Schizosaccharomyces pombe: one gene and its partners. The gene in region 3 interacts genetically with the main gene of each other region. Each region holds a gene or a part of one and is shown on either strand. Other genes may lie near its edges. The genes, in order: spo5, nup61, imp1 and sap14.

Region 1 (8,070 bases), 1.4 Mb from region 3:
CCTTCCAGCGAATTACTATTCTAAGCTGCATAGCCCCTGCCTATATATGTACGATGCATCGTTATTGAAAGAAGTTTGCTGCATATAAATAGGAAGAAAATTGATGATAACAACATCCGTTTGTTTCATTATTAATGAATTTGTGGTACTCCAATCACCAGTTAAAAAATATGGCAAATAATTTCAAAGAAAATTCTCGTCAACTGATATTAACTCAATCATAATATAGATGAGCCATAAAATATTAACATTAATATCGTAATGCAATGTAGCAGTAATATTATATAATCGTAGTCAGGTAAAATATATAACAAATCACCATATTAACCCATTCGCAAAAAACTTTGATGTTTAAGCTACTCAGATCAATCAGTACATATCTTGTTAGAACTAAGGAATTAAATTATTCAATTATATAAGCGTTAAGATGGATGAATAATAGATTGGTGAGACAGATTTGGGATAGTGATGTATATAATAGAATATTAACATATAATTTACGAACTCTCCTTTATCCTCTTTATTCGATCAGAGCGTCCGTTAAAACAACTTACGCACGGTTTTTAGCCTCCCTTAGGCTTGTTATTGATATTCGCAGCATTGTCTATGAATAGTGAAAGTGTTGATTCAGATGTCGCGGCCTCTACTAGTAATAAGGGAAATGAGTTATGTAGCTCTTCCACTGACATTACGTCTTTATCAGTGAGTTCCCCGAATGAATCGGTTATTCATTCCAGTCACTCTGCAAGTGAAGCTGATGAGTACGTTTGCAAATTAAGTTATGAGGGTAATAGAAAGAAAAGAATTTATAATGGCTCTGCTGAAGCGGGTAAAGAAAAGAAGCTTCAAAAACAGCGGGCCCAAGAGGAAAGGATTCGACAAAAAGAAGCAGAGCGTTTAAAACGTGAAAAGGAACGTCAACAACGAGAGCAAGAGAAAAAGCTAAGAGAACAGGAAAAAATCGCCGCTAAGAAAATGAAAGAATTAGAGAAATTAGAGAAGGAGCGGATTCGATTGCAGGAACAACAAAGGCGGAAGGAGGAGAGGGATCAAAAGCTTCGTGAGAAAGAAGAAGCACAGCGCCTTCGTCAAGAACAAATCCTTAATAAGGAAAGACAACAATTGAAGTTAAACAACTTTTTCACCAAAGGAGTTGAGAAACGAATCGCGCCAAACGAAAATTTTGTAGCTGACAAAACGGATGAACTGAATGAGTTTGAGAAAGAGTTTCGCCCTTTTTTTATAAAGCATCAGATGTCCCTTTCCAAATATCCATCTCCGAACGAATCTGATTCTTTTTTGGATGAAGTCCTCTCAACCTCTAAATCTTATCCTTTAAAGCTAAACGACATTTTTACACCATCAGATGCTGTAAGCTCCGCAAACAGTTTAGGTGTTAGTAATAGAAATTCCGAAAACGAGGTTCGACAATTAATGAGCGCATATCAAGATCCATCTGTTTCAAAACCTCAAGAAATTTTATCTTGTTTATCACAGATTCCTATTAAATTCATTTTCTTTTATCAGGATGTTCGCCCTCCATATTTTGGATCTTACACGAAAACCCATTCCCATGGTTCTAACGTTTTATTGAATCCCTGGCTTGAAGATGAAGACATAGACTACACATATGATTCAGAAGCAGAATGGGTAGCTGATGAGGAAGATGATGGAGAAGATTTAGAAAGTGAAGATGAAGAGGTAGATAATTCCGATGATATTGTAGAGGATGGTGATAATGCTTTTGTGGATGATGAGGATGATGACAAGGATAGTGTCAATGCTTCTAATACCCATCGTTCCTCCGGCCCATTAGAGGTAATCGTAGAAGGTCCGGTTTGGGATTCAAAGTTTCTTCCTGACTTTAATTGCTTATCTTTAATTGAACCCATTAGTTCATTTTCAGCATCTACATATCTCCAAATTGATCCTAAAGAGGATTTATGGGCTTCTCAAGATACTGCTCCAGCGTCTAGTGGAATGACAATTGGACCTACCAGTTCACTTTCTGATGATTTACAAGTAAGGTTTCCTTCTGAAGATATACCCAAATTTATAGAATATGTCCGTAACTCTCATGACAACAAAGTATTCCTGATCGAGAATTTGAGGCACATGTTTCCTTACGTAACCAAAAATATTATCAGCGAAACTCTTGGAAAAGTCGCTGTGCGTAAAGGAAAATCAGTATCTGATGGTTGGATAATCAAGGAGAATTTTGCATCCCTTTTATCCTCTTAATTCACAGTGTGCAATTATCTTGAACACTCAAGGACTATTTATACCTCTCTCTTTTTATACGATTAAGCAAATATGTATAATATCATTCATTAATACTGTAGTGGTTTGACCTTTGTTATATAACCTGATAATAAATAAAAGAAAAAACATAGAAAGAAAGCTTTGGCCCTTAATTGTAAGCTTTGTCTAACAGGTTTTATGTTGGTTTAAGTTTGAGTATGTGATAAGTGTTTGAAAAGATTTCGATATTAGAGTTTGATGTTCAAGTAAATGCTGGAAAGATGTTTAAATTTAATTAGCAGCAGAAGTAGCGGGATGGGCATGATATGGCGTAGTACTTCTGCTGTTTTCATAGTTTGAGGGATAAACGGAATAAGAGGGATACATACTTTGCCAACCGTAAGTATCATAAGTGGGTGAATGTTGATAGACTGTGTTCGACTCCAATGGCACATACATTCCAACTTTAGAGGGCATAGAGTTATTTGCGAACTCCTCAACTTTGGAAAAAGCATTATTAGCTGTCATTCCCTTAGTTAAAACACTGTATTCACGAGCACGCCATAATCTTCTTTTCTGAGTCTGACCTTTAAACTTCTTCTGATCAGTGGAATCAGCAAAACGGATTTGTAATGGGGGTAAAGCAGGATCCAAGACAAAGTTATTAAATTTATTAATTATGTCTTCAGCCGTTTTACGATCTTGCATACGAGCAAACCCAACACCTCGAGATTGTTCCTTAGAGTCACGAAGTACGCGGTTTGATATGATTTTGCTGGGTTTAAACAATGTGGAAATATCACTTTCATTCCAATGAAGAGGAAGATTAGAAATATACAGATTGGTGCTTTCTGTGTCTTGTAGACTTTGAAGACGTGCACTGAAACTTTCTTTTGCAAATGAACACTGATATCCACATAAAGTCATGGCTGAAATGCAAATCAATGCAGATTTCTCTTCTTCAAAGCATGCAAACCCATATCCTTTACATAAATTCGTTTCCATATCAATTATTGCTTTGCTGCTACTAACTTTACCAAAACGATTGGTGTAAAGCAACAAATTTTCATCCGAAGTGTTGGGAGGTAAACCACGAATGTAAACATTCCGAGTACGAGAAGTGCTTTCCATGTTACTTTTTTTATTATCATGAGACATGGGAAACATGCTGGGAATGGCAGGAGGAATTGCAGGATGCAATCCAACCAGTTGAGAAAGGTAATTTGTATTCTCCTTTGTTGTACCGACACTCATTTCTTGATTAATGGCAGCGGGAATATTTTTTTGCCCTTGGGAAAAAGAAGGCATCGAGAGAGAAACTGAATTCGTAGGCACAGTCGCTGAAGGAACTGGCGCGAGATATGTTGGTTGATTGACAATATGAAGTCCCGGCTGATTTAAAGAGGGCATTTGAGGATATACTAAAAGACGAAAAGTTTGGTAAGTATTAGTTTTTTCATAAGCTGTGTATCATACCATTCTGAACATATGGTTTTAAATACTGATGAGTATTGTTAACATGATAAGGGTGAACAGACTGATGAGTCTGCCATTGTGAACCATAGCAAGGAGCTACAGAATTGAATGCAGGACGGAATCCAGAGACACCCGGTCGATTGTTGGAAATGGCTTGTGACTGTGCATAGTATGACGGATAATAAGAGTTGGCATAGTAGGCGTTTTGTTGTGGCAGTGTTCCATTATTAATATTGTTATTTGCATATGAAATAGGATCGGTTGTCATAACGGTTGATTGATCAGCAGCACGCCTATTTAAATACGCGGCCTGTGCTGCTGTAGAATAAGTATTGTTTTTTATACTATATTCCTAGTTAGTATTACATTACACATCTGTAATAGCCCTTTACCTGTTTGGCTTCTTGGAAAGCCCTAACTCGCTAGAACCAGGCGTTGCGTTTGGGCTTGTTCCTGGTGTTAATAGTATAATTGTAGAGTCCAATCCTTCACTTTTTTTCGTGTCATTGACATCCACAGTTGTTTGACTTGTTGGAGTAGACAATTCGGTAGTGGATAATGGATCACGAGAAGGAGAAGACATTAATTGTTTTTGTTTTTGAGGCGTAATTATTCCATTCATCGCTCTTATATGCTTTAAGTAAATAATTTTTAAATTATGTATACTTTAATGTTTGAATATATGTTAAAGGTAAGTTTTTGAGCGCGCGAAATCTGTTAATAAACAAATCAAGGATAGCATTGTGTTGCATTAGATTTGATAACGTAGAAAAAAAATACACTTAAAGGCTCAGTTTTATTATACAGTTAGGATACATGTATTAATTATGCTTGTACTTTTGGAAACTTAACTTTTCCGCATATTACTCAATGTTTTGCGTTGACAAGTACACATTGACCGAGGATTTAACTTATAGCATCCTGTACTCTAACTTGATGCGTGTATTTTTAAAGCAAAAAAAGAATTATCAAATACTTTCTATTGTATGTAAATTGATCAAACATTCGCAATCGCCTTAATTATTGAAGTGCAATGAAGTCGACTGCCAGTGTTTACTTTGTTACCCAGCTTTAAGTCGGTTTAGGTTTTTCAATCATGACAAACACAGCACTTTGTGTAGATTCGCATTTTCGGTAGACATTTTTGAGCAGTAAGAAATTCAAGTTGGCAGTTTATTTTTGATATTATAACGTTACAGAGTACTGTTCGTTAGTTGCTACAAAAACTATGTTTTCTATAGATAAAAATACCGAGTGGAATAATGATTGTATTAAACTATTTCTAAGATGAAAAGGCATCATTAAGTCTTGAAGTAATCGCAAAGTCTGGATAAATTCCAAACTTACCAGGTATCTTCAAAAAATCTATTGTCATCTCGAAGAGCTTTAACGGCTTTCATACCGTCAACATCAACAGTGGTCAGAATAGAAGCCAATGCATTCACAACATCTTTAGCCATATGATCAGCATCACCGCAGATATAAAAAGCAGCCCCTTCTTCTACAAGTTTAGCAATGGTATCACTGTGCTCTAAAAGACGGTGCTGAACATAGATTTTATGATCTTGCTCACGGGAAAATGCGGTAATCAGTTCAAAAGAGTCTTTCAAGACATCTTTGTATTGTTGCCATTCTTCCTTATATAAAAAATCCTTGTCAGAATATTGGCAACCATAAAATAAAAGTGTTTTTGCTACTTTAACTCCTTTAGAAGCTAAATTAGCCCGTTCCATCACAAAACCGCGGAATGGGGCTACACCAGTACCCGGGCCTACCATTATTATGGGGACATCGGGAGGAGCCAATCGAAAAGTAGATTTCTTTACAAACATCGGAATTTTTCCGGTCCAGTTTTTACGAGGACCCTCAAGGGTATATTCCAAACCATTTGGATGTGGAATTTTTTCACCGTGCATATGACGACAATGTGCCAACAAATAATTAGTAGTTAGTCCATAAAAGATATGATTCTTATCAGTCCATTCTTTCTTGTCAACTACCGCTGTAACGTGAACTTTGTCAGGATGCACTACACTGCTCGAGGAAATCGAATAGTAACGCGGTTTCATGTGTGCCATATTTTCCAATAGCATTGAGAATGGAAGTTTTGTAAATGGAGCGTCAGGAGAAACACGACGAAGGACTTGAGCAAGGTTTAGGTGCAAGTCTACAACGTTCTTCTTAAAGTAGTCATAATCGTTGCCTAATTTCTCGAGTTCTTGCTTAGATTCTGGTGTAGGAGCGAAAGGAGCAATAAAAGAAAGCAGTTGCCTGGAGACGATACCACATATTTCATAGTAGTAGCGAAAAACAGTGTCATAGGTAGTAGGACTTAAAACAGGAGCCTTATCGAGAGTATCGATAGGTTTAACAATTATTACAGTATCCCTCTTCTCTTTGAGACCGAGAACTTCGAGAAGATCATCAACAGCTTGACTAGGATTCATAGGACAAATAGAAGCGTAATCACCTGTTTGATATCGCATACCAGAGTCTGCGATATCCAACTCTAAATGTAAGCAATTACGACTTCCAGATTTGAATAGCTCAAGAGATCTGACAGGAGAAGAGAAAAATGGATTAGCTTGAGAACGTGGAGCTTTCGATGCAACATTTCCTTTCAATTGCTGACGACTTGGTTCTCCCAAAAAGACAGTAGAACTAGTGTTGGAAATTTCAGGCTTCTCAATAACTTCAAACATAGGATTGTATTCCTTGTGGACTTCTTGCAAATGGAACAGCTTACCTATCTCAGGTAAAGTATCATCCTTCCATTGTAAATAGTCCTCTTCAAGCATACCAGCGGCATCGTCGCCCAAACCTAGATTGCCCACACGAGTAGCGCCTAAACGAGTCATTGCAGCATCTACCTTTTTAGCCATTGCGTTATAATACTCATAGGTATGATTTCCAAGGCCAAAAATTGCATAACGAATTCCTTCGAAGGGAGTATCTTCAATGCCTTTTCCACTTGAAAAAACGGTATCATCGCCCTCAAGAAGTTGCAAAAAGGCCTCCGCATTGTCCGTAGGTTCACCTTCACCGTAAGTTGCGAGAAAGAATACCAATAGTTTTGATCTATCAAAGTTGTCCAAGTCGGTTAAATCATAGTTCTCAAGATCGAAAACCATATTGGTAAGATTGAAGTTTGCCTTTGCTTCCGTTGAAAAACGGTAGGCAAAGTCCTCAGCGGTACCAGTTTGAGATCCAAAGAAAACCGCGGCAGTGAGCTTTTCGGCCTCCATCAACTCGACAATACTGTCGGTAGCCACGACTCGCCTCTCAGGAGCCTTTGGCTTGTTGAGAAAATTGTTATAAATAAAGTAACACAAGCTAAGGATCAAAATAATGACCAGCAATACATATTCATAAGTCTTCATAATGCAAAAAATATAATAACCAAATTTTACGAGTGTTCAACTTCGGGATTTAATCCGCCTTTTATTCCAAGGGTAAATGTGCGTGTAAAAAACGAGTGAGTCAACAGAATTGTCTGATGATAGGCAGATGCGAAATAAAGAGCGAAACAGTACTATGCTTTTTTAGCTTGAACCACTTTGAAGCAGATACACTAAAGCGCGAGACAATAAAAATGAAGAAACTCAAACAAGGGTTTCTATAGCCTCTTAAACAAAAAGTCAAGTATTTATCCAAATACTCTAAAGAATCTATAAAAATCAAGATGAAGTATGTAGGCTAAGATACTTAATTAATGAAACAACTGCGCTTTATATGATGAGCACAATAACCATGCCAATTGAACAATCAAATAGATGCTAGAAAGCTTCTAAAGTAATTGACTTCAAAAAGCAATCCTTTCGGGAGAAAAGCTAATTGTTTTGGCAAACGCTAATACCTGGTCGCTGGTAACTCCTGCACCTATATACTGCTATAATATAAAAAAAAAAAATATAGTTCGATTTTTCAATGATTACTTTTTGAAAATTTCTATTAATTAATAAAAAACTATTTAATAAATTCATGTATTAATTTTGGTTAATTAGCATGTTCAACGAAGTTAAAGTTTGACAGATATAGATATCCAACATATGTAGTAAGTATGGATGGAGAGATAAAAATGGGAATGGGAATGAGAGTATTTTTAGATAGAAATAGTGTGACGGCAATCGTACAATAGTTAATTTATTGTGGCAAGCCATCGCAATAACAAAATACCTCGGGAAGAGAATTAAGCGCAATACGAAATTATGGTAAATCGGCGATTCTACTAGTAGGTGTTTATTGTTTTACTAATTATAATGACGATCAGTAAAAAGTAGGTGAGCTTTGAAAAAACCGTTGCTATACACTTTAGGATTTATTTTGACGAACCAATTAATATGGCTACCGTAG
Region 2 (8,788 bases), on a different chromosome or scaffold from region 3:
AAAGATATGCCACAATTATTGTGTATTTAGAGAAAGAGGGAGAGGACAAAAGAAAGAATCAAAAGAAACTGCGACATGTGGGCCGGAATTTAAACGGCATACAGAAGCAAGGTTACATGCAAATCGATGGAAGCAAGTATGCGAGAGAAGGTAATAATTTTTGCTTAAGCGGATTTGAGTATTCGCTTAATTTTACGTTAAAATAAAGGTAAGATAAGCGACTAGTCCGACTAAGTAAATGTTCAAGAAATATTAGAAGAAATAAATTGGAAATGCCGTTGGCACAATGGATTTTGATTCCAAAGTTTGTTTACATGAATTTACGAAGCAAATTTAAAAAAATATGCCCCAACTCCGATACCATGAAATGTGTTTAATAACGATATTCTATTCCTTCCATGATACCTCGTGTATGGTGAACATTGGTATATCACAGTTTTCAACGTAAATTGAAGAAATTTTTTTAAATAAAATTTTTTTTAATTGAAGAAAGTCTTTTATGGTCTTTTCCAGGAGTTTAAGTATTAATCAGTTTGGAATGCCGAGCAAACCCATTTAGAGAAAAATTTTAAGGCATTTTAACTAGTTTGGGTGGTTATTAGTAAATGAAAGAATATGAATTTGTATATGGCCAACTCAAATTGTTGTACAGTTTGCTCATATACACGACTATCTATGGCAATAAGTATTAATACCACTACCTCGTTAGCAAAATACTTTTGTCAAGAACTCATATTTATGACTTGAACAATTATTACTATAAAAAGGATAATTATATAGAATAAAATTTCGAGATATTATGTCAGTCAAAATAGCCTAAAAAATTCCTGTTCACTTAAATTCTTCGTCAACCACATTCAATATGAAGTTGATTCAAAAAAACATCGAAAAAAATGGCTCCGGATGGATAACCATGTGCCCTGAAGAGCCAGAAGATATGTGGTATGCCTGGTTGCTGTATATCTGCAATCAATGCACAAACTAACTTAGTTTAGGCATTTGTATAATATTCTTCAAGTTGGAGATCAGCTGAAGGCTTCTACAGTTCGGTATGAAATAAAGTGTATCTTCAATGTTCGATAATAACACCTGTTTTTTCTGTTGTTTAGTCGTGTAGTGAAAGTTGGCGCTACAGGAAGTACGTCAGGTTCAAGAGTTGTGATGAAACTACGTATTTTAGTTGAGAATATGGACTTTGATACAAAGGCTGCTCAATTGCACATCAAAGGACGGACAACTGAATACCATCCTGAAGTTAAGATGGGATCCTACCATACCTTGGACTTAGAACTACATCGCAATTTTACTCTATATAAAAATGAATGGGATGCATTTGCATTGGACCGTGTAGATGCTGCTTGTAATCCTTCAAGAAATGCTGAAATAGGTGCTGTGGTTTTAGATGAAGGTAAATTTCTTGGCTTACATCGCTTTATTAGTTCGTGCATGTTTACTGACTTGCAGGTCTTGCCAATATTTGTCTCATTACAGATTATATGACCATCCTGCGTCAAAGGATTGATCAAGTGATTCCAAGGAAACGGAGAGGGGACAGCAGCGCTTACCAAAAGGTAAATTTTTAGACTTTGATTTTTCGTCCGTACTGATCAATTTTTTAGGGCCTTGATAAATTTTATGACTCTGTTTTTCAATCCATTAACTCAGAATTTGATTTTGATAAATTGAAAGTCGTTATTCTTGCTTCACCAGGATTTGTGGCTCGAGGCTTGTATGACTACATATTCAGCATGGCCGTGAAGTTAGACTTGAAACAAATTGTTAAATCAAAGAATAAATTTGTCATCCTTCATTCTAGCACTGGTCATATTCATTCCCTTAATGAAATTTTGAAGGACCCTGCTGTTGAATCAAAACTAGCCGACACAAAATACGTACAAGAAATTCGCGTTCTGAATAAATTTTACGATGTCATGAATGAAGATGATAGAAAGGCATGGTATGGTCCAAATCATGTTTTGAAGGCTTTTGAACTTGGCGCGATCGGAGAACTTCTGATTAGCGATTCTCTGTTCAGGAGTTCTGACATTGCTACTAGAAAAAAATGGGTTTCATTAGTAGAAGGTGTTAAGGAGATTAACTGTCCTGTTTATATTTTCAGTAGTTTGCATGAGTCAGGGAAGCAGCTGGATCTGTTGTCAGGTATTGCCGCCATTCTCACTTACCCAGTCGATGAAGAGGATATATCAGAAGATGAAGAGGATGAGGAATCCCAAAATTTTGAACATAGTTAAAGTTCATCAGTATCCGAATTGTCATGAATCTAATTATTGCTAAGCCAATATTTCATACTTTAAGCTCGGTTAGAACAATTTGTTTCATTCTCTTAAAAAATTTATTTATGGGCTCGTTTTGGTAGTCATTATTTATGCTTTTACTTGGATGTTTTAGGGTATTTACTATGATAAACATGCAAAAAATTAGGTGTTAGAATGGTCAAAAATTGATACCCTAAAATGATTTATACTTATCGATTATAACTCTTAACTTGTAAAATTAAGCTGTTAATTATAGCCGGTCCAATACAGTATTCAATTACAGTAAAAAAATCAACTTTAAGCGATAAATTCGCTACAAACGTATTTGTTGAAGTTACTTTTTTCAAAAAACTAACAATTCGAAATTGATAGTGGCTCATTTACTTGCTTATTTTATTAAAAGTTCGCGCCAAGATACTTATTCAATAAGGGGGTTTGACCCTTCTAAAAGCTAGGCAGGTGTTTGAAAATCCGGAACCAATATATAGACAAAAGTAATTTAATAACGAAACCGATTATTGAATCAATCAATTCAAGATATATCACTGGCGATATACAACAGTTTTAAAATTCACTCAAAAATTTATCAATCATTCATAAGATGAAAATTAGGATAATTAAATCAGTTCCGTAAAACTTTGATGTTCTGCGTAAATTTAAAAAGAAAAGATATGACTAGCTTAACCAATTTAATATTCCATAAAGGCAATGTACTTGGAGAGCATGTATGCTTCCGGGAATTTCATATTTGTATGCACATTTCGTAAAAGACTGATTGTGTATATCCCTATCCACAAATGAAAATCGAATGACAGTATTAAATTGATAATCTTGACAATATATTTCCGAAAAATTTATTAGATTTATGTACATTTAATAGACCAAAAATAAAGGAATAAATAGTGACTGAATCAATCACTGCTTTCTAGTTCTCTGACTTTGAGACCTTTTTCTCATTCAATTCGGCTAATAACTTTTCCGCAGTACTAGGCTCTTTCACACGAATCAAATACATTTCAATTGATTTTCCATCAGTAGAAGCAGCAGGTACTTTTACGTCCTTTTTACCAGCCAGGCTGTATTCAAAATCCTGGCACAAACGAACGTTTAACAAAAGTTTTCCACTTCCCTCGACACGCGCAAGGATGCGAGCAGAGCCAGTGTCACGATCTACGTTAATTTTTAATGGACCAATCCCGATATCAGAATAAGATTTACTAGTAGCATCGAAACGGTATATCTTGGCCCTTGTCTCAAATACGCTGTCTTCATTTTCTTCGCCTTTTCCTTTACCAGAAACTAGAGAATCATTCGATCGAGTTTCATCATTTCCGTTTTCCTTTTCTTCTTGCTCTGATTTGTTTCCATTAGAAGTTTCTTCACTTTTTTCAGCGCCAACAGAAGCTGGAGTAGAAGAAGTAGGAAAAGAAGATTTCGGAGCAGCAAAAGAGAACGGATTAGTAGTAGTTCCAAATGAAAAGCCGACAGCCGCAGCGCTAGGAGGCTTCACATCCGAAGAGGCCGGTAACTTTTTGCTCGATAATGGATTGGTAAATGTAAATTTTTTCTCAGGTGTGTCAAATTTGATAGGCTTATCAGGAGTCCAAGAAAAACTCATAGTATTTCCCTTGGCAGGTTCAACGGCGTTCTCGGATTTTTCATTGTTCGAGGGTTTAGATTCTTCGCTCTTTGAATCTTTAGTTTCATGGGTTTGTTTGGTCTCTTTTGAAGCATCCGCAGAAGCCATAGTCGTTGAGAAAGAAAACACGGGAGTTAATGGTTTTGATTCCTCATTTTCCTTCTTAGCGAAAGCGAAAGGATTAGCGGCAGTATTGAATGAAAACTGGTTGGTTGTGGTAGCGGCAGTACCAGTGGCAGTTTGATTAGAAGATGTTTCTTTCTCCTTCGCTTCCGCTTCTGTTGCGGACTTCTCACCAAATGACCCTTTAGGAGTAAAAGCCGATGAATTAAACTGGAAAGAGCTACCAAGCGCTGGAGCAGAAAATCCGAACCTAGGAGCACCGGGGGGAACAAGGGGCTTCTCCTTATCCTCTTTTTCTGAAGAAGCTGGTTTTTCTGTAACAAAAGAAGAAGAATCTTGGCTTTTTTGTTGCTGAGGATTTACCTCAGACACAACAGCATTTGAAGTTGGTTGTTCTAAGAAAACGTTAGAAAGAAATGAAGTACTAACTATAAACGCATTACCTTCTGCTGGCTTTTTTTCTATACTTGAAAAATGCTGCCTGTATTCATCAAACAGAGGGCTCAAATTACCAAAGGGATTATTGTCAACACTTTTGATAACAGCGTCAATAAATGATTTATTAAGACCGCGTTTTTTCAAGTGAATATCTGAATCATTATTAGCTGTAACCGCGGGTTTTCCAAATGTAAATTGCGTAGTCGATGCAGGTAAAGACACCGGTTTTGCTGCCAAATTTGCAAAAATTCCCGGAGAAGAAACACCGCTCGTTGGTCTTTTTCTAGATTTTGGCTTTGCAATTCTAATACATTAGTACCTAAAAAATTGAAGAACTATGTTTCATCGTTACATACTTTCTTGTGGCCATCACGTCTGCGGAGGCCTCCTTAGGAACTTCAACTGGACCATGACGGTCATCATCAGAATCATCTTGATCCTTAGTTAACTGATGATCAGCACCGCGTTTTGACATTTTGCTAGTTTGCGAAGGTCAACTGTTAGCCCCAAAACCACCCAAACTTATGGCCTTCACTATGTCTCCTTATTTACTAATGTTACAGTAAAATAAAATAATACAAAAAATGAATTGTCGCTTGATTTTAATTAAGTATTACAAAAATAAATGACTATGGTACAAAAATTATCATAATAAAGAGCGTTCAGCTTTTTTCTTAGCGTTTCAGTTGGGCCAAAACAGATTCGCATCTGTCACATAATCCGTCCTCATGAGCTGTATGCATCCAGCAACGTAGACATTTTTGTTGATTTGAAAAAAATAAAGAGATATTTGCAACCCCATAATCCAACTGAACTTCAGGTTGTGTAACGGAAGCTAATTTCAGATTTTCGGGAATTTCGTTAATAAATACCTTCGATGTATTGAACAGAAAAGGAAGGTCGGAAGAGTAATTTTTTAAAAAACTCAATAAAGATTGAGATTTTGACTTAATAACGACATAAGCTTCTAATGAGTTTTTAATAGTTAGATTTTCACGAGCTGCGGTAATCAACAAATTAATACTATACTTAAGTTGTTGAAGAACCAAGTATTCCTTAATTAAAAATTTTCTATCAAGTAAATCAACTTTTGACCTTAAGCTGCTTATAAGATGTGTTTCTCCAGCGTGAAAAGGAGTTTGGTAAGAAGAATTCAAATAACTATCGGGTAAGCTTTGCCAAATCTCCTGTGCCAAAAGTGGAGTAATGGGAGAAATGGCCCAAATGAGCGTAAGTAATGAATGATAAAGGACAGTTTGAACACTTCTCCTAGATACACTGTTGGGTAAATCAGCGTACAGACGATCCTTTACGGCGTCAAAGTATGTAGAGGATAAGAAAGAGTTCATAAAATAATTGAGATGATGAACAACTTTGTTAATTGAATATGATTCATAAAGTTCTCGAATTTCAGTCTGAAATTTATCTAGTTGGACTAAAGCCAACTTATCAATACCACGTAATTCACCAACATCAACTGAGCTCGAGGTATTCCAGTCATGTAAGTTCCCAAGACAAAATCGGGATGTTAATCTCCACTTTTTTAAGGATTCACCAACTTGCGTCAAAATGTTCGGTCCCAGGTTAGTATCATTCGTACTGTCACATGATGCAACCCAAAGTCTCAGTAAATCAACACCATATGGAAGCTTTTTTCCTTTTAAAAGCTTTCCGTTTATTACATCTTCAGGGTCGGTTACATTGCCCAAAGACTTGGATTGTTTCTGACCTCTTTCATCAAAGATAAATCCGTGCGTAAACAAAGTAGAAAACGGTGCTTCTGGTTTTGATTGGTAGGCAGTGTATGTGAGAAGAAGTGACTGAAACCATCCCCTGTGTTGATCGCTTCCTTCCAAGCAAAGGTCAATGAGCGGTTTATTCTTACGAGGTGCTATTGTAGTCCAACTAGTCCCAGAATCAAACCATACATCAAGTGTTTCAGTGCCACGAATATACTCCTTATTTCTGTAATCCGGATGAACCCACTGAGCATGCCCATTGTTTTCAGTATCATTAAACCAAGAATCAACTCCCTCTACTTCCATTTTCTCAATGATATAGGATACACTTTTCACAGTTAGTAGGGGGATTTTAGTTCCTTTCTCATACAATACAGGAATGGGTAAACCCCATGCCCGTTGGCGAGAAATGCACCATTCAGGACGGCCATTCAAAAAACCAAGAAGTCTGGCGCGCGAATTTGGAGGAATCATTTTTACACTATCAAGTGCTTTTATGGCAGTTTTCCTTTCATTCTCCAATGATATAAACCATTGAGGGGTCGCCCGTAAAATTAATGGCTTATGTGTTCGCCAATCGTAAGGGTAGCGGTGCTTATAAGGAGAGACCTTAACAATCATATTTTGATTTTTCATAATACTTATTACTTTCTTTCCTCCATCACCAAGAACTTCCAATCCTTCAAGGCTTCCATCCAAAGCTTCTTTAGTGTATCGACCATAATCATCGAGTGGTGAAAAAGGACGCAAATTGTTTTCCAGTCCTAGAAGATAATCTTCCATTCCATGGCCAGGAGCGACATGTACTATACCAGTACCGATATCATTAGTAACGTAGTTAGATTGTAAAAATGGAAAGCTTTGCTTCGGTAATAGAGGGTTCTCATATGTAAATGATGAAATAATATCTGAAGGGCAACTCGCAAGACGCTTAGCTCCCTGCATAAAATCCAAGTTTGGAACTAAATTATCAGACATTAAATAAATCGAATTATTGTGCTGGTATAGACCATAGTTGATTTCAGGGTGGTAAGATAATGCAAGGTTTGAAGGAATGGTCCAGGGAGTTGTTGTCCAAACTAATGCCTTTACATTATTGTATTCACATCCATCGATAGAAAAACTGTTCACCGGAAACGTAAAGTAGATAGACGTGCTGACGTGATTATCATCATATTCTATTTCTGATTCAGCTAAAGCGGACCTGCTTGAAGAGCTCCAATAAACAGGTTTATTTTGACGAAATATAAGATCCTTTTGTAACAAACTTAAGAAAACCTTAAGCTCTGCTATTTCAAATTTGTCACTCATGGTGATGTACCTAGAAGGCCAATCTCCCATTACAGCCATACGTTGGAACATCATGAGTTGTTCTTGAACGGCCGAATTTGCGAAATCTTTAGCAATCTTTCGAATTTCAAGAGAACTTTTACGCTCGGCGTTTGCTTTAATAGCTTTTGACTCGATTGGTAAACCATGACAATCCCAACCAGGAACATAATGCACAGAACGGCCTTTCAGCAATTGCCAACGATTGATGATATCCTTCAAAATCTTATTTAGAGCATGACCTATATGCAGTCGACCGTTTGCAAACGGAGGCCCATCTAATAGCACGAAAGAATCTTCTTTATTCAAATTCTCCTTCTGCCATTCATACAGGTCTGATGTGATGGATTTGAAATACTTTTCATTATTTCCTTTAACGTTTGGCTTAATAGGAAACGAAGTCTTTGGCAAGCATAGTGATTCTGAATATTTCTTCAAATCCGCCTGACTGCTGAGAAACCTACCTGCTTGTTTACAACAAATGTGGTTATGGCCTTTCGGCAAACTGCTTATATATGAAAATTTCATATGTCCGACGATTCCTTATAATCCGAGCATAAAACGAATATAGGAATGAATGTCGACCAAACTGGGAATTGGTAACCTCGTGGGTACGGTCCCAATTCCGTATATTGTACTGGTAGTAACTATAGCTGTAGTCTGAAGTGCCAAGGCGTAAAACCGGTCCAATGCATAGAAATGCCATTATTTCAAATACTATACACAAACGAAGCTAGCATGTGGACAGCAAATTTGGACTGAATGTTTCCTTGGATCAATAATGATTTATCACATAACTGTTTAAAAAGTATATGAATTTAAGAGCTGAAAAAGTAAAAAAACTCATTATTTCATTGTATCATTGAAGCATTACTCAATCTTTCTCTGAAGCACCAAGATACGAGTTTCTACTAAGGGTTCCTCATTAATTAAATAGTTCTCCTAGACGTTGTGCTTTACTTAAACAGAGAAAAAAAAAACATCTGGAGACTAATTGGGTTAAACAAAGGGCATGTTTGAATAGATGTAACAGATGGTTCGGCTAATGAAAAGTAAAGGCAAGCATTTTCATGAAAGATATCTATAGTTTTTTCTTTTAAAAGGAAAATTTTACAGAAGAGCATTTATTATGGTTATTATTTTCTAGTGATTGTATCAGCTTTTTAAGTTTACGTATTCGAACCCAAAGTAGCTATTGTTTTTATTTTTTATTTTTTTAAGTCATGAATATTATATCTAACGTA
Region 3 (5,974 bases):
ATATTATCATCAGGGCTGAAATAGGACACATGATAACCGGCCAAATGTTTCAATCCTCTTGGCCAATTGTAATTTTAAATCTTCATTTTCTGATTCTAAACTCTTCCTCTCCAATTGTTTTTCTTCAATGGAGTTTTGTAACTTTTTAATTTTCTCTAATTGATGTTTTGGTGCAGTGGAAATACCTGGAAGTTGGTTGATCAAAGTGTCTATTTGCATAAATTTTGTAACCAAGTCTTTTGCTAGATCCCTTTGAGCGACTACAAAAAGAAGTTAGCACATAAAATGACTAGAGGACGTCTAATATCGTACATTGTAACTCTTCAGCAGAAATTGGGTTCACTAATAATTTGTTAGTAGCTACTTTGAATAGCATCATAATGAATCTTGTATACCTTTAGAATCAGAAACCTTTTCTTGACCAGGTAAAGGAACGAAATCATGATGAGAACTTAAATAATGAATGGAAGAGTAAAATTGTGTGGCAACCTACATAGGTTAGAATAGAAAAAGAAAACTAGTCCCATTACCTCATCAATTGTATCTTGAAGCTGAGTACACCTACATGCCATTTTTTTATGTAGGTGTAATATGAGTTAAAAAGAGTTGAAAGTCGCAAGTTGTTGAAGGTCCATGATGCAGGTAACAATTGTTGAAGCGCAAATGTCAAGAACAATAAATCGCTAATTAACTTTTCTGTTATTTCAGCATCGGATATTTATTATGCACAGCTTTTGATTTTATGACATTGTTTGTAATTGTAATGTATCGACCTAAAAACCGACTGTCTAGCAATCGGGAAAAAGAATTAAGCTAGAATCACGCTTGACATAAGCAAAAGAAATTTAACATAAAACAGTACATAAAATTTAAAAAAAAATTAATGGAAAGCGAAAAAAAATAAACTACAGAAACTACAGAATCAGCTAAGTATTTTTAATTAACATAGAAAAACAATGATAATAGTAATACATTCGACATATTTATTATATTTTTGATCGTGGAAGGGTGTCCGAGTGGTTATGGAGCTAGTTTAAGGCACTAGTGCGAAAGCTCGTGGGTTCGAGTCCCACCCCTTTCAGTACCTTTTTGATAATCCATTCATTCTGAGTGTTTTCATATTACGTGAAGGTGCATTGTTATTAAAATTGCAGTACTCTGCTTTTAAAAAGATAGCGGACAATGCTACAAATTCAATACAATCTATCCTTTTAAGCAAACATAAATCACTAAATGTTTAACGAATATGCTACTACGGGTCTTGAATATTCACAATATTCTTTTATTAGGAAATGCATTAACCACCGGTACCTTATAATATTCTTACGAAGTGGGTACACACTGAAATAGCTCATTGGTGACCCGAAGAACGGAGGTTAATTTATTTCATAGTCTCGTATATTTGGCAGTAGTTACATCAAGAAGCAACAAATGGTGCATCACTGTCAATATATGTATATATACTATAGATAAATAAATACAAGGCATGTGACTTATATAATGATACTTAACGTAACGTACTATCATCAACGCTTTATTCAAAATAATGAAATGTGCTAAAATGTGATAAAATATTTGTGATACCGCGTTGAGAATCATATTGAAAGAGGTTGCAAATTGCTTCTTGCACCAACTTTGGCTCTTATGCACAAGCAATGTCTTCTTCCAATTGGGAAAAGTTAAAGAAGGTATGAAAGGCTATAGTTTCCATTAAGTCATTTAAGATTCTTGTTTAAGTATACTAACGGTATTGGTTGTTTAGAAACTCGACAGCGCTAAGAGTGGACGGGTTGAAAAAAAGCATTCTAATGAAAAGAAATACCTTAAAAGTGTGAAAGGTAAAAACAATGAGAATGAGAATTCTTATATCGTCGATAAAAAACGCATGAATGAATTAAAGAAATTTGCTAAGGAAAATGATATCCCTGAATCTCAAGTCCTTGACGCATATGGCGTGGATGCTTCCAAGCTTACCAGAAAAACCAATTTGGAAACATTGGGGAAATATATTGCAATGGATTGTGAAATGGTTGGGGTGGCAGATGACATGTCAGTTCTTGCACGCGTCAGTATAGTTAATTATCATGGTCATGTCGTGTATGATACTTATGTCCGTCCTAAAGAAAAGGTTACGGATTGGAGAACATGGGTCAGTGGTGTCAAGTCATTTCACATGCGGGATGCACCTTCATTTGAAAAAGTACAAGCAGAAGTTGCTAAGATACTCGACAATCGAGTATTGGTTGGACATGCTGTCCATAACGATCTCAAAGTACTACTTTTATCGCATCCAAGAAGAATGATTCGTGATACCAGCAGATTTTCTGGGTATCGGAAATTAGCCAAGGGAAGGACACCAGGGCTTAAAAAACTTGCTGAAGTGATTCTTGGGCGTGACATTCAATCTGGACAGCATTCTTCCGTCCAGGATGCCCAAGCAACGATGGAATTATATAAGAAAGTAAAAAAAGAAATGGATGAAGTTGCATTCAAAGGTTTGTCAAAGTCATAAGCTTTGAATCACTAGACTTCGTTCTGGTCATTTGGGATTTGGGTTTAATAATATGCAAGAAAATGTTTCTTATAATTTTACTGGATATGTGTCAGATGTTAAATATATTTTCGGTTGCTTATAACAGCAATATTGTTTTCATTGGCTCTTATGAAATCGTTGGTTTTCTTTCTTTATTTATCTCTTCTGTTTCCTTCGTTTCTGGTTTTAAATAGTCAATCTATTAATAATTTTTAGTATAAATAAATGATGCATACAACTGAAGGAAAGAAATAATGTATGGAAAAAACAAGGATATAGAGATTTATCAGCTTCGTTTATATGGTCTTCATAATTACTTTGTGAATTAATAAAGTTAATGTTATATAATTAGATTACTTCCTATAGTGTATATGATTTAGAGCATTTTAACTGAATGACGATAATATGTTTTCAAGCGCCGTTAAGTTAATTCCTAAATTTATATAAATACCGAATTAATCTTTATTATCACAAAAAAAATAAAAAATATATATATTAATAATAGCTACCAAATAAATTCTAGTTAGACAATGGACCATTAATGTATACATATTAATAGCTTACAAAACAGATACGGAAGTGTTTGAAAAATAAGTATTTATTCAAAGATTAAATTGCTCAACTATATGTATTATATAATCAAAATAAAAATAAAAATAGGCCAACTTGACAGGTTGTTTAAAGAAAAATTCCATTTGTTTTTAAATTTTGAATTCTTGTTATAGCATTCAGCTTGTTAAAAACCCAAGAAAAATTGGTTGATGAGCTCAATAAGCATGTTGTTTTACCCGTTTTATGGTGCGAAGGTTTCCAATGACAGAACAAAAATGATCTAGAAAGTTTCAACGATTTGAACCGGAAAATGATATATTTCAAATTATTCTAAATTTATTATTTTTGAACATTGTTACCTGGGTGCCGGCTGCTTCTTGGAACGACACAAGTGCTCTTTTACCTCCTTATTCTCATTAAACTCGCAGCAACCACAACTGTCTTAGATAACTAAAAAAAAAAGAGTAAAAAGGATATCAAAAAAGTTTATTCCTATAGAAATGGAATCGAGATATTTATCAGATAGAAGAAGCCGTTTTAAAAGCAAAGGTGTTTTCAAAGCTGATGAACTTCGTCGGCAACGTGAAGAACAGCAAATTGAAATCCGCAAACAAAAACGTGAGGAAAGTTTGAATAAACGAAGGAATTTAAACGCTGTTTTACAAAATGACATTGATGTGGAAGAGGAGGCTGATCAGTCTCAGGTTCAAATGGAGCAACAAATGAAAGATGAATTTCCTAAATTGACAGCTGATGTGATGTCAGACGACATTGAGCTACAATTAGGTGCCGTCACGAAATTCAGGAAATATCTTTCTAAGGAGACGCATCCCCCTATTGATCAGGTAATTGCTTGTGGTGTTGTTGACCGGTTCGTACAATTTTTAGAAAGTGAACATCACTTGCTTCAATTTGAAGCGGCTTGGGCCTTAACAAATATCGCTAGTGGTACCACAGATCAAACCCGTATTGTTGTTGATTCCGGCGCTGTTCCTCGTTTTATTCAATTACTTTCTTCACCTGAAAAAGATGTCCGTGAGCAGGTTGTATGGGCCCTCGGTAACATAGCTGGCGATTCTTCTGCCTGCCGTGACTATGTACTCGGTAACGGAGTTTTACAGCCTTTACTTAATATTCTTCAGAGTAGCGCTTCTGATGTTTCTATGCTCCGTAACGCTACATGGACACTTTCTAACTTGTGTAGAGGCAAAAATCCACCACCTAACTGGTCAACTATTTCTGTAGCCGTTCCAATCCTTGCTAAGCTCCTTTATTCTGAAGACGTTGAGATTATTGTTGACGCGTGCTGGGCCATCTCCTATCTTTCTGATGGACCTAACGAAAAAATTGGCGCCATTTTAGACGTTGGATGTGCGCCCAGGCTTGTTGAACTTTTGAGCTCTCCCAGCGTTAATATTCAAACTCCTGCCCTTCGCTCTGTGGGGAATATAGTAACAGGTACTGACGCGCAAACACAGATCATAATCGATTGCGGTGCTCTCAATGCATTCCCTAGTCTTCTCAGTCATCAAAAAGAGAACATTCGTAAGGAAGCTTGTTGGACTATTAGCAATATTACTGCTGGCAATACCCAACAAATCCAAGCAATTATTGAAAGTAATCTTATACCTCCATTGGTCCATTTACTCTCATATGCCGACTACAAAACAAAAAAAGAAGCCTGTTGGGCTATTTCTAATGCTACTTCTGGCGGTCTCGGTCAGCCTGACCAAATTCGTTACCTTGTGTCACAAGGCGTTATTAAGCCACTTTGCGATATGTTGAACGGATCCGATAATAAAATTATTCAAGTTGCTCTCGATGCCATTGAAAACATACTTAAAGTTGGTGAGATGGACAGAACTATGGATCTTGAAAACATTAATCAATACGCTGTCTACGTTGAGGAAGCTGGCGGTATGGATATGATCCATGATTTGCAATCCTCCGGAAATAACGATATTTATTTGAAAGCGTATAGCATCATTGAAAAGTATTTCAGTGACGAGGACGCAGTTGAAGATTTGGCACCTGAAACCGAAAATGGCGCCTTCACATTTGGCAATGGCCCTCAAGCTCAAGGAGAATTTAAATTTGATTCTCAAGATATGGCTATGTAACGTTTAAATTAATTTTAAAAAAATTTTTTTTGTTCTAATCGAAGCGCACATTATTTACATGTTTCACTTAGACAAATTCTGTTTTCCATTACTGGTGCTTTTGTTGGGTTTGTATTTCTTTTTTTTACCCTCTATTTTTAATTCAATTTAGCTATTTGTGAAGCTAAGTATTTCTATTAGGATTAAAAACTACGGTTAAATAATATGTTTACGAAAAAAATGAGTGTACTACTAAAACAGAGCGGTACAGGTAAATAGCATGATATCACTAAAAATGTTTATATTCGTAAGAGCTGCAACTAGGCAAAATAGAGAAGGGGGTTTAGGATCAAAGAAAATAAAAATAAAAGAAAGCAGCGGGGACGATATACACTGTTAGGTTCAAATGACTTCGACTAATCGGTGAATGCAATTTGAAAACCAATAATGACGCAAATTTTTGCTAATAAGCATATATGCAAATCAAATATGACTGAAAAAAACTGCAGCTGTCTTATCGTATTATGTCCCTCGAAAAAACAATTTAGGCACTAGCTAAGACCTTTTCGATTTCACCGAGACTTTCATTGAGAGCATCCTGTTGGAACTTTTGGGTAGAAACTTTGCTGTTGACACGAGCCAAGACATCTTCAACGAGACGTTCCTGTTGTTCAGCGCGAACGTTGGCTTCGTGATGAACCCAGCTATCCAACACTGATTTAGCTTCTTTAGCTAAAGCAACTCGCTGTTCGAGCTCAAAGATCTCAGCCTCCATACGGGCAGTTTCTTT
Region 4 (7,050 bases), 1.9 Mb from region 3:
AGTAATGAAATCCCTTCGATTTGGGAAGACAGCGACGATGAGCGGTTGATGATATCTTTGCAGGACCACTCGAGATTAAGAAAATTGCGTCAATATGAAGATGAAGACATGGTTAATGGTCTTCAATACGCCAGAAGGTTACGAACCCAGTTTGAAAGAGTTTATCCAGTGCCTGAATGGGCTAAAAAGCAAGACGTAACCGAAGAAGAGGATGAATTTAATGCTTTATCGGAGAAAAGTGTCATTCCTAAATCTTTGAAGAGTCTATTCAAATCTTCAGTTTCCTACATAAATCAATCCTCAAAGCTTCTTGCTCCTGGTACTATCAACATCAAACGGCTTAAAGATGCCAACTTCCAAGCACCTTCTCACAGTGGAATTCGTTGTATGTCTATTCATCCTTATTTTCCTCTTTTGCTTACTTGTGGCTTTGATCGCACACTTCGCATTTATCAGCTTGATGGCAAAGTCAATCCACTGGTAACATCTTTGCATTTACGTTCTTCAGCTCTTCAAACTGCGTTGTTTCATCCGGATGGTAAACGAGTAATAGCTGCTGGTCGGAGAAAATACATGTACATTTGGGATTTGGAGTCTGCCCAAGTTCAAAAAGTTAGTCGTATGTATGGACAAGAGAACTTTCAGCCAAGTATGGAAAGGTTTCACGTAGATCCAACTGGGAAGTACATTGCTTTGGAAGGAAGATCTGGCCATATAAATTTACTGCATGCTCTTACTGGTCAGTTTGCTACAAGCTTTAAAATTGAAGGTGTACTTTCCGACGTTTTGTTCACTTCTGACGGGTCGGAAATGTTGGTGCTTAGTTATGGTGCGGAGGTATGGCATTTTAATGTTGAGCAACGTTCAGTCGTTCGTCGTTGGCAAGTTCAAGATGGTGTATCTACCACTCATTTTTGTTTGGACCCATCTAATAAGTATTTGGCAATTGGTAGCAAGAGTGGTATTGTTAATATATATGACCTCCAGACATCCAATGCGGACGCTGCACCAAAACCTGTCACTACATTGGATAATATTACTTTCAGCATAAATAGTATGAGCTTTTCTCAAGATAGTCAAGTTTTAGCTATCGCATCTCGAGGAAAGAAGGATACTCTACGACTCGTTCATGTTCCCAGCTTTAGTGTGTTCCGTAATTGGCCCACCAGCGCTACGCCTTTAGGCAGAGTTACATGCCTAGCTTTTGGTAAGGGTGGTGAGTTATGTGTTGGTAATGAAGCTGGAAGGGTTGGACTTTGGAAACTAGCTCATTATGATTTGAAGTTTGTGCCAGATAAAATTATTAATTGGGAAATACGGTTGGGCAAATTTGGATACGTTTTATTAGGGATTCAAATCTTAATACTACATGTAGACGTTGTTATATTATAGATCAATGCATTACATTATTATTACTAAAAAGCTTTAAGCGAAATATAATAAAATTCAAGTCCTTATAGTACCTTTTTTATACCTAGGTTCGAAACACTAGTAAACGATTGTTTAATATGAGCCGATTCATTTTTCTGCTGTATGTTCTCTTCAACAGAATTTATAGAAAGAGGAAATCTATTACACGTTAATGGAGTCAATATCAGACTCCTAATTTGTTTGTTTTTTTTTGGTAAATAAATAGTAAACGTTCACTGAACACCGTATTTTTGCTTAACTTGTTCCAAGGCGGCATACCTTGCTGCCAAATCTTGACCATCAACCTTAGCTCTTTCAGGGTTATAATAATGCACTAAAAAAAAAGTTAACAAGAAGATATTAAAAAGCCGTTAGAAAGGAGAAATTAAAATTAATAGTAGCTAATACATTCCCTAAGATAACGTACCAACCAAGTATCTATCCATGAAGTTGTAGCCAGAAAGCTTTTCGCAAGCTCGACGAGCGTCTTGAACGTTTTCATAAACCACAAATGCAGTACCTCTTGTTTGAACCGTATTCCCCAGCCTTATTTGTCGTACAGGACCATACCTACCAAAAAGATCGTACATCTCTTCTGCTGTAATTTTAAAAGACAAGTTCTTGATGAATAGGATAGAATTGACTTCTTGATTAACTGTAGATGGAGGCATTTGTTATTTTTACGATCTTAACACTTTTTGTTAAAAAAATCAAATTTCGAAAAGAAATGATTTGGTTTGCTTTGGAAAGGATAAATATTCCTAAAAGGTTGGTTGGGATCAGATGGAAAATACTCGTTATCACAGCTTGGAGATTGATGTTGTATAGTCAATCCTATACGTGAGTTTAATTATAGTAGAAAAGATTGAGACATGAATATTAAAGGTTACGTTTCGTGGTTTGGACAAGAAGAGGTATATGCTGGGAAATCGAATGGACCAACAGATCGTAGACAAAACGGTTCAACCTTTTACCAAAATTTTCCTCTTCTTTTACCTGGTAACTCCAAATGTCAAATGCAATCCTTAGTTCATGAGATCTTTGATCAGAGTTGAAACTGACATGGCGGTGATTTCAATAGAGAGTCAATTTAAAGTGATTTTCAAATTATACATAACTAGTTGAAAATCATAAACATTTTTATTGGTATTTTTTGCTTCCTCGTTTGTCTATCCTACAGGAAATAGGTTTCAACTTTAAAACTGACAATTGCAAAGAATAGTTTGATAGTATAGTTGTATCATCAATTTATATTTTTCCTTATTTCTTTACTTTCTTTTAACTTATACTCTTGTTTGGCAATGGGACTTTTATCAAGGAAACAATTTGGTATCATTGATCTTTTGCCTACAGACCAACTAGTTCATCAATTTCTTCTCAAGTTCTTTTGAAATTTCTTAAATTTTTTATTTCCTGATCCCAGAAAACTACATCTGCAAAATTAATGATTCATTTTACGCTTCCAATGCCATGCTTTCGTATATAAGTGATAGCAACAGAGACACTAAAGGGAAAGGATAGCTTTGTTGAATATGTGGATCTTACTGTACTTCATTTTATCTAATTTGAAAGATTTCTCATTGCTCTTTGCTTACAACTGCTCTTAATTGAGAATGTGCTGCATTGCAAATGCTGTTTTGAAGCAATTTAGGAAATTACAGAAAAAAGAAACTATAGTAGCGTTTACAATTTCGAAAACTATACTAATAATTTTAACTAATGAAGCTAGCTATATTCATTATGATAAGCAGGAACTAAGTATTTAAAAAAGTAAATAATGTTGTACAAAAACGAAATAAACCAACTAACGTTAAAGTACGAAATTAATTGACTCATCTATAACCGTTCTTTATTTTTTTTATTTTTTCAATGAATAAAGCTATTGGCATTGATTGCTAATCTGGTTTGATATATGATATACATATTTTTCTTTTTGAAGTATTGAACAATTCTTTTTACGCTTCTAGTAGATTAATTACCATTTACTCTTTTTTTAAAAAAAATAAATAAATAAATAAATAAATAAAATTTTGTATATTCAAGTGGTTTCTGCTCATTAGCCTAATTCGCAAATAACTCTAGTTTAACATAAAATTTAACTTGACGAAATGCGAAAAATGTCTTGTACGACAAAATTTCAAGAGTTAGGATTGAGAGAAGAATTAAAAAACAATAGAACAATAAAACTATTGCACGTAACCCCTAAAACTTGTTGAAATTGGCAATGTTGATTAAATACCTATATCTGAATTAATTTACGAGAGAAAAAAACCTAAACGAAAGATTAATAAAAGCGCATATTTAAGGAAAAATTTTTCTATGAATAATTTCTCTTTTCATCCATTAATCGCCTTCTTGACCCATTTCTTCTCTTGTATTTACATTTTCATCTTAAGTAACACGTCACCTACATCAAGCATCCAGGTAGTCATCGTGGCAAGCATGAATTTGCTCTTTCCCCATATTCGCTACTGAGGTGTGCAGCCCTTCCGCGGCGTCATTGGAACTTCCACTGGGCCGGAAAGGCAAGAAGGATAATTACGGTTTTTAACGTTGAATACGCAAATATTTATAACGAAACGGTGGTTGAGAACTCGTAAATTGAATGAAGAAAATTTGATAAAGGTCGATAAATTTATTTAGCGATAATTTAACGATTTTACCGAGTTAACAAATTAAAGATTTTAATTATTTTTTAATATATTTGTATAAGTGAACAAATAGGTTTGCTTCGCCGTCTTTTTCAACTTGTCGGAAACAAACAATTATCTGGAATTTTTTTTTACTCGCACTTAGATTCTCCGCGTTTTATACGCATATACTAACAAGGAAAGGAATTTAGCTAATCGATAGATTCTGGACCTTTCCTTCTTTGAAACACATTTTCCCCCGTTGAATTGGTTTTGTTTACATTCAAATAAGGTAAAAGCACTCTTCCAATTGAAGACTATAGAGCTCTAATTCGATCGTTTTCTTTGAAATTTTTAAAAATTACTATCATATGAGCGATGTATTCTTTAAAAGATTTGTGCATCCAAGTCGCGCAGAAGCATGTGCACGACATCGATGATATTGGCGATTGCCCATTCGAACTCGTAAAACCTATCCTGGAAAAAGCTAGACCAGAACATTTAATAGACTTGGAAGAAAAGTCGCCTCATTTGAAAGTTGACACTCAACCATTGTGGAAAGATCACGTTTTGCGTGATTTTGGATTAGAACTTCAAAAACGAACTATATTGAACAATATTGATGATTGGAGAGGGCTCTACGGAAAACTTAAGAAAAAAAGAAATGCTCATTATAACGTTGCTTCTGCTAAGCTTCGAAGTGCTTACACCAAGCTAGAGCAAAGTAAACAAAACAAGCGAATTGTTCCTTTAGAGCGTGAGCCTAGAGCTGCTCGGCCTCCTAAGCGTCCGCGTCCCATGAGTAATTATTGTCCAAAAAGTTCTCTAATGGCGAGAGCTAAAAGTGATTTTCTCAAAAAGGCTCTGCTACCCGTCATATTGTTTCAGCTACTTCATCCTCTCGGAGCTTTCCCCAATTGCATCCCCTTGGACGTTCTTCTTCTAACGCTACTAATACTTCTACAAAGCGTCCTTTAACCTCTAATACCTATCCGTCCATTCCTCTTCCTCCAAAGTCTTTCACCTCTCAGAATTTTAAATCGTTCAACGCCGTCAAAACTCAACCTTCATCTTCCTCCTCTCCATCAATCTCTCGCCCTACGTCTTTTCCCATGTCCTTTTTTCCAAATCCTTCGAGGTTTTCTAGTCAAGTTCCTAAACGAATTTAATGAGTTAACTTTTTCCTTTCTCTTTCTTTTTTTGTTTACTAGTCTGTATATTCTTTTTTTTTCTGCTATTGATTTCCTTGGTCCGCCTTATTTTCTCCTCTTCTCCCCTTCCTCCTCTTTACTTTTTAATTGATTGGGTTTGTTCTCTTTATTTTTTGGGTGTTGGTTGATGATTTGCATGCTTTCCAGGTTTCTTGTCCATTACCGTGTTATGACTTACTTAGCTATAATTAATTTACTGTTTTAATCTTATTTAACACTTCATGTCTTTTACTGTATAAAATGTAGTTAACTTCGTTTACATATTTTATCCAGATTCATAGATAAAAGAATTTGATTTTATTTATCCTCGCCAGCTATATTATTATTATTTAAGTCTATGCTATTCCATTAAGTTTTTATAGTCATGGTTGGCTGTTGAGATAGACAGAATTTCTTATATTGTGAAATTGTTCCATCAAACTTGGAGACGACATTATGGTCACACTGCCAAATACTGGTACATGTCTTGTCCAAGAAATCAACATCGTGAGAAACAAGAATCACACCACCTTGGAAGCGTTTAACAGCTCTTGTCAAGGCATCCATGGACTCCATATCCAGATGGTTGGTGGGTTCATCTAGAATAAGAATGTGAGGGTTTTGTAGACCTAGGCATGCGAACGCAACACGAGATTTCTGACCACCAGAAAGCGTGATCATTTTTTGCAATGCAAGAGGTCCACTAACACCAAAAGCGCCAAGATGACGACGGTATTCTTCTTCACCTTTGCCAGGAAATGTCTTAGCTAAAAAGCTTAAGGCATTCAAGTTTAAGTCCAAAGTATCGACATGATGTTGTGCAAAGTATGCAATACGAAGTCGGGGGTGCCGACTAACTATACCAGATGTTGGATGAAGTTGTTCGATAAGAAGCTTAAGCATTGTTGATTTACCAGCACCGTTGGGACCAACCACACCGATACGAGAATCCATTTGAACATCAATATCAACATGTTTGAGAATAGGGTGACCTGGAACATACTCAAAATTGACATCAGACATTTGTAAGATAGGAGGAGATATTTTTTCCACAGGTGGAAATTCAAACTCAACTTCTTCCTCAGTTTGAGGCTTTTCAAGGATCGGCAGTTTTTCCAACTTCTTAATACGACTTTGTGCTTCGGATGATTTGGCAGCATTATAACGAAATTTGTCAATGAATGATTGCAAATGTTTGCGGTATTCCATTTGCTTTTCATATTCACGAAGTTGATTTTTGCAACGTTCTTCACGAGTAGCATAGAATTGACTAAAATTACCCTTATAGTAATCCAAGCGCTCAGAGTGTTGATGAATAATATCAGTAGCAACTTCATTCAAGAAAGAACGATCGTGTGAAACGACTAAAACGATATTTTTATAAGTTTGTAAATATTCAGATAAGAAAGCAATTGAGGGAACGTCAAGCATGTTCGAAGGTTCATCCAAAAGTAGTAAATCTGGTTGACAAAACAGAGCACGTGCCAATGACAAACGCATACGCCAACCACCTGAAAAAGTCTTGGTAGCATGGCTTTGCATTTCTTGAGTAAATCCAAGACCAGCTAAAATAGTAGCAGCGCGTGATTCTGCTCTATCAGAGTCCATCTCGGAAAGCTTATTTTGAATATCTAACAACCGTAAATCAAGTTCGTCTCGTTCACGCTCAAGGCGACGGGAAATAGCTTGATCAGCAGTTTGGTCTTTACTAAGTTCTTCCAATTCTTTTTCAATCGTTGATAGACGATTAGTTATCTTTTCCTGGTCCTGAATCAAATACTTGCGCCAAACATCGGCATCCAAAACTGACTGTAGGGCAG

The links.
Region 1: of imp1 (region 3) and spo5, changing one enhances a phenotype caused by changing the other (phenotypic enhancement), as found in Schizosaccharomyces pombe (one study listed by BioGRID).
Region 2: of imp1 (region 3) and nup61, changing one enhances a phenotype caused by changing the other (phenotypic enhancement), as found in Schizosaccharomyces pombe (2 studies listed by BioGRID, with this or other methods).
Region 4: mutations in imp1 (region 3) and sap14 together harm fitness more than expected from each alone (negative genetic interaction), as found in Schizosaccharomyces pombe (one large-scale study listed by BioGRID).

The regions. Positions count from the first base shown.
Region 1 is NC_003423.3:2,532,490-2,540,559, reverse strand, and holds spo5 (meiotic RNA-binding protein 1), read right to left. Parts: upstream 4,411-8,070; 5' UTR 4,340-4,410; coding exon 4,110-4,339; intron 4,062-4,109; coding exon 3,718-4,061; intron 3,663-3,717; coding exon 2,533-3,662; 3' UTR 2,306-2,532; downstream 1-2,305. Other genes in the region: histone H3-H4 chaperone, CAF assembly factor (CAF-1) complex subunit A Pcf1, read left to right, coding at 607-2,241; ccr1 (NADPH-cytochrome p450 reductase), read right to left, coding at 5,061-7,097. UniProt on the Schizosaccharomyces pombe protein: RNA-binding protein which plays a role in sporulation. Regulates the progression of meiosis I and may function in the vicinity of the Mei2 dot.
Region 2 is NC_003421.2:728,271-737,058, forward strand, and holds nup61 (nucleoporin Nup61), read right to left. Parts: upstream 4,972-8,788; 5' UTR 4,952-4,971; coding exon 4,833-4,951; exon of another isoform or gene 4,781-4,832; coding exon 4,482-4,780; exon of another isoform or gene 4,434-4,481; coding exon 3,202-4,433; 3' UTR 2,601-3,201; downstream 1-2,600. Other genes in the region: dom34 (translation release factor eRF1 family protein), read left to right, coding at 863-942, 996-1,049, 1,110-1,408, 1,465-1,571, 1,620-2,252; ism1 (isoleucine--tRNA (Ile) ligase), read right to left, coding at 5,151-8,072. UniProt on the Schizosaccharomyces pombe protein: Functions as a component of the nuclear pore complex (NPC).
Region 3 is NC_003423.3:3,913,041-3,919,014, forward strand, and holds imp1 (importin alpha family nuclear import signal receptor adaptor Imp1), read left to right. Parts: upstream 1-3,514; 5' UTR 3,515-3,585; coding exon 3,586-5,205; 3' UTR 5,206-5,474; downstream 5,475-5,974. Other genes in the region: srb7 (mediator complex subunit Med21), read right to left, coding at 10-260, 313-342, 396-489, 531-572; exoribonuclease Rex4, read left to right, coding at 1,656-1,688, 1,763-2,512; F0-ATPase subunit atp4, read right to left, coding at 5,729-5,974. UniProt on the Schizosaccharomyces pombe protein: Functions as a component of the nuclear pore complex (NPC).
Region 4 is NC_003423.3:2,048,615-2,055,664, forward strand, and holds sap14 (Pre-mRNA branch site p14-like protein), read right to left. Parts: upstream 2,155-7,050; 5' UTR 2,082-2,154; coding exon 1,838-2,081; exon of another isoform or gene 1,745-1,837; coding exon 1,644-1,744; 3' UTR 1,383-1,643; downstream 1-1,382. Other genes in the region: AAA family ATPase Gcn20, read right to left, coding at 5,600-7,050.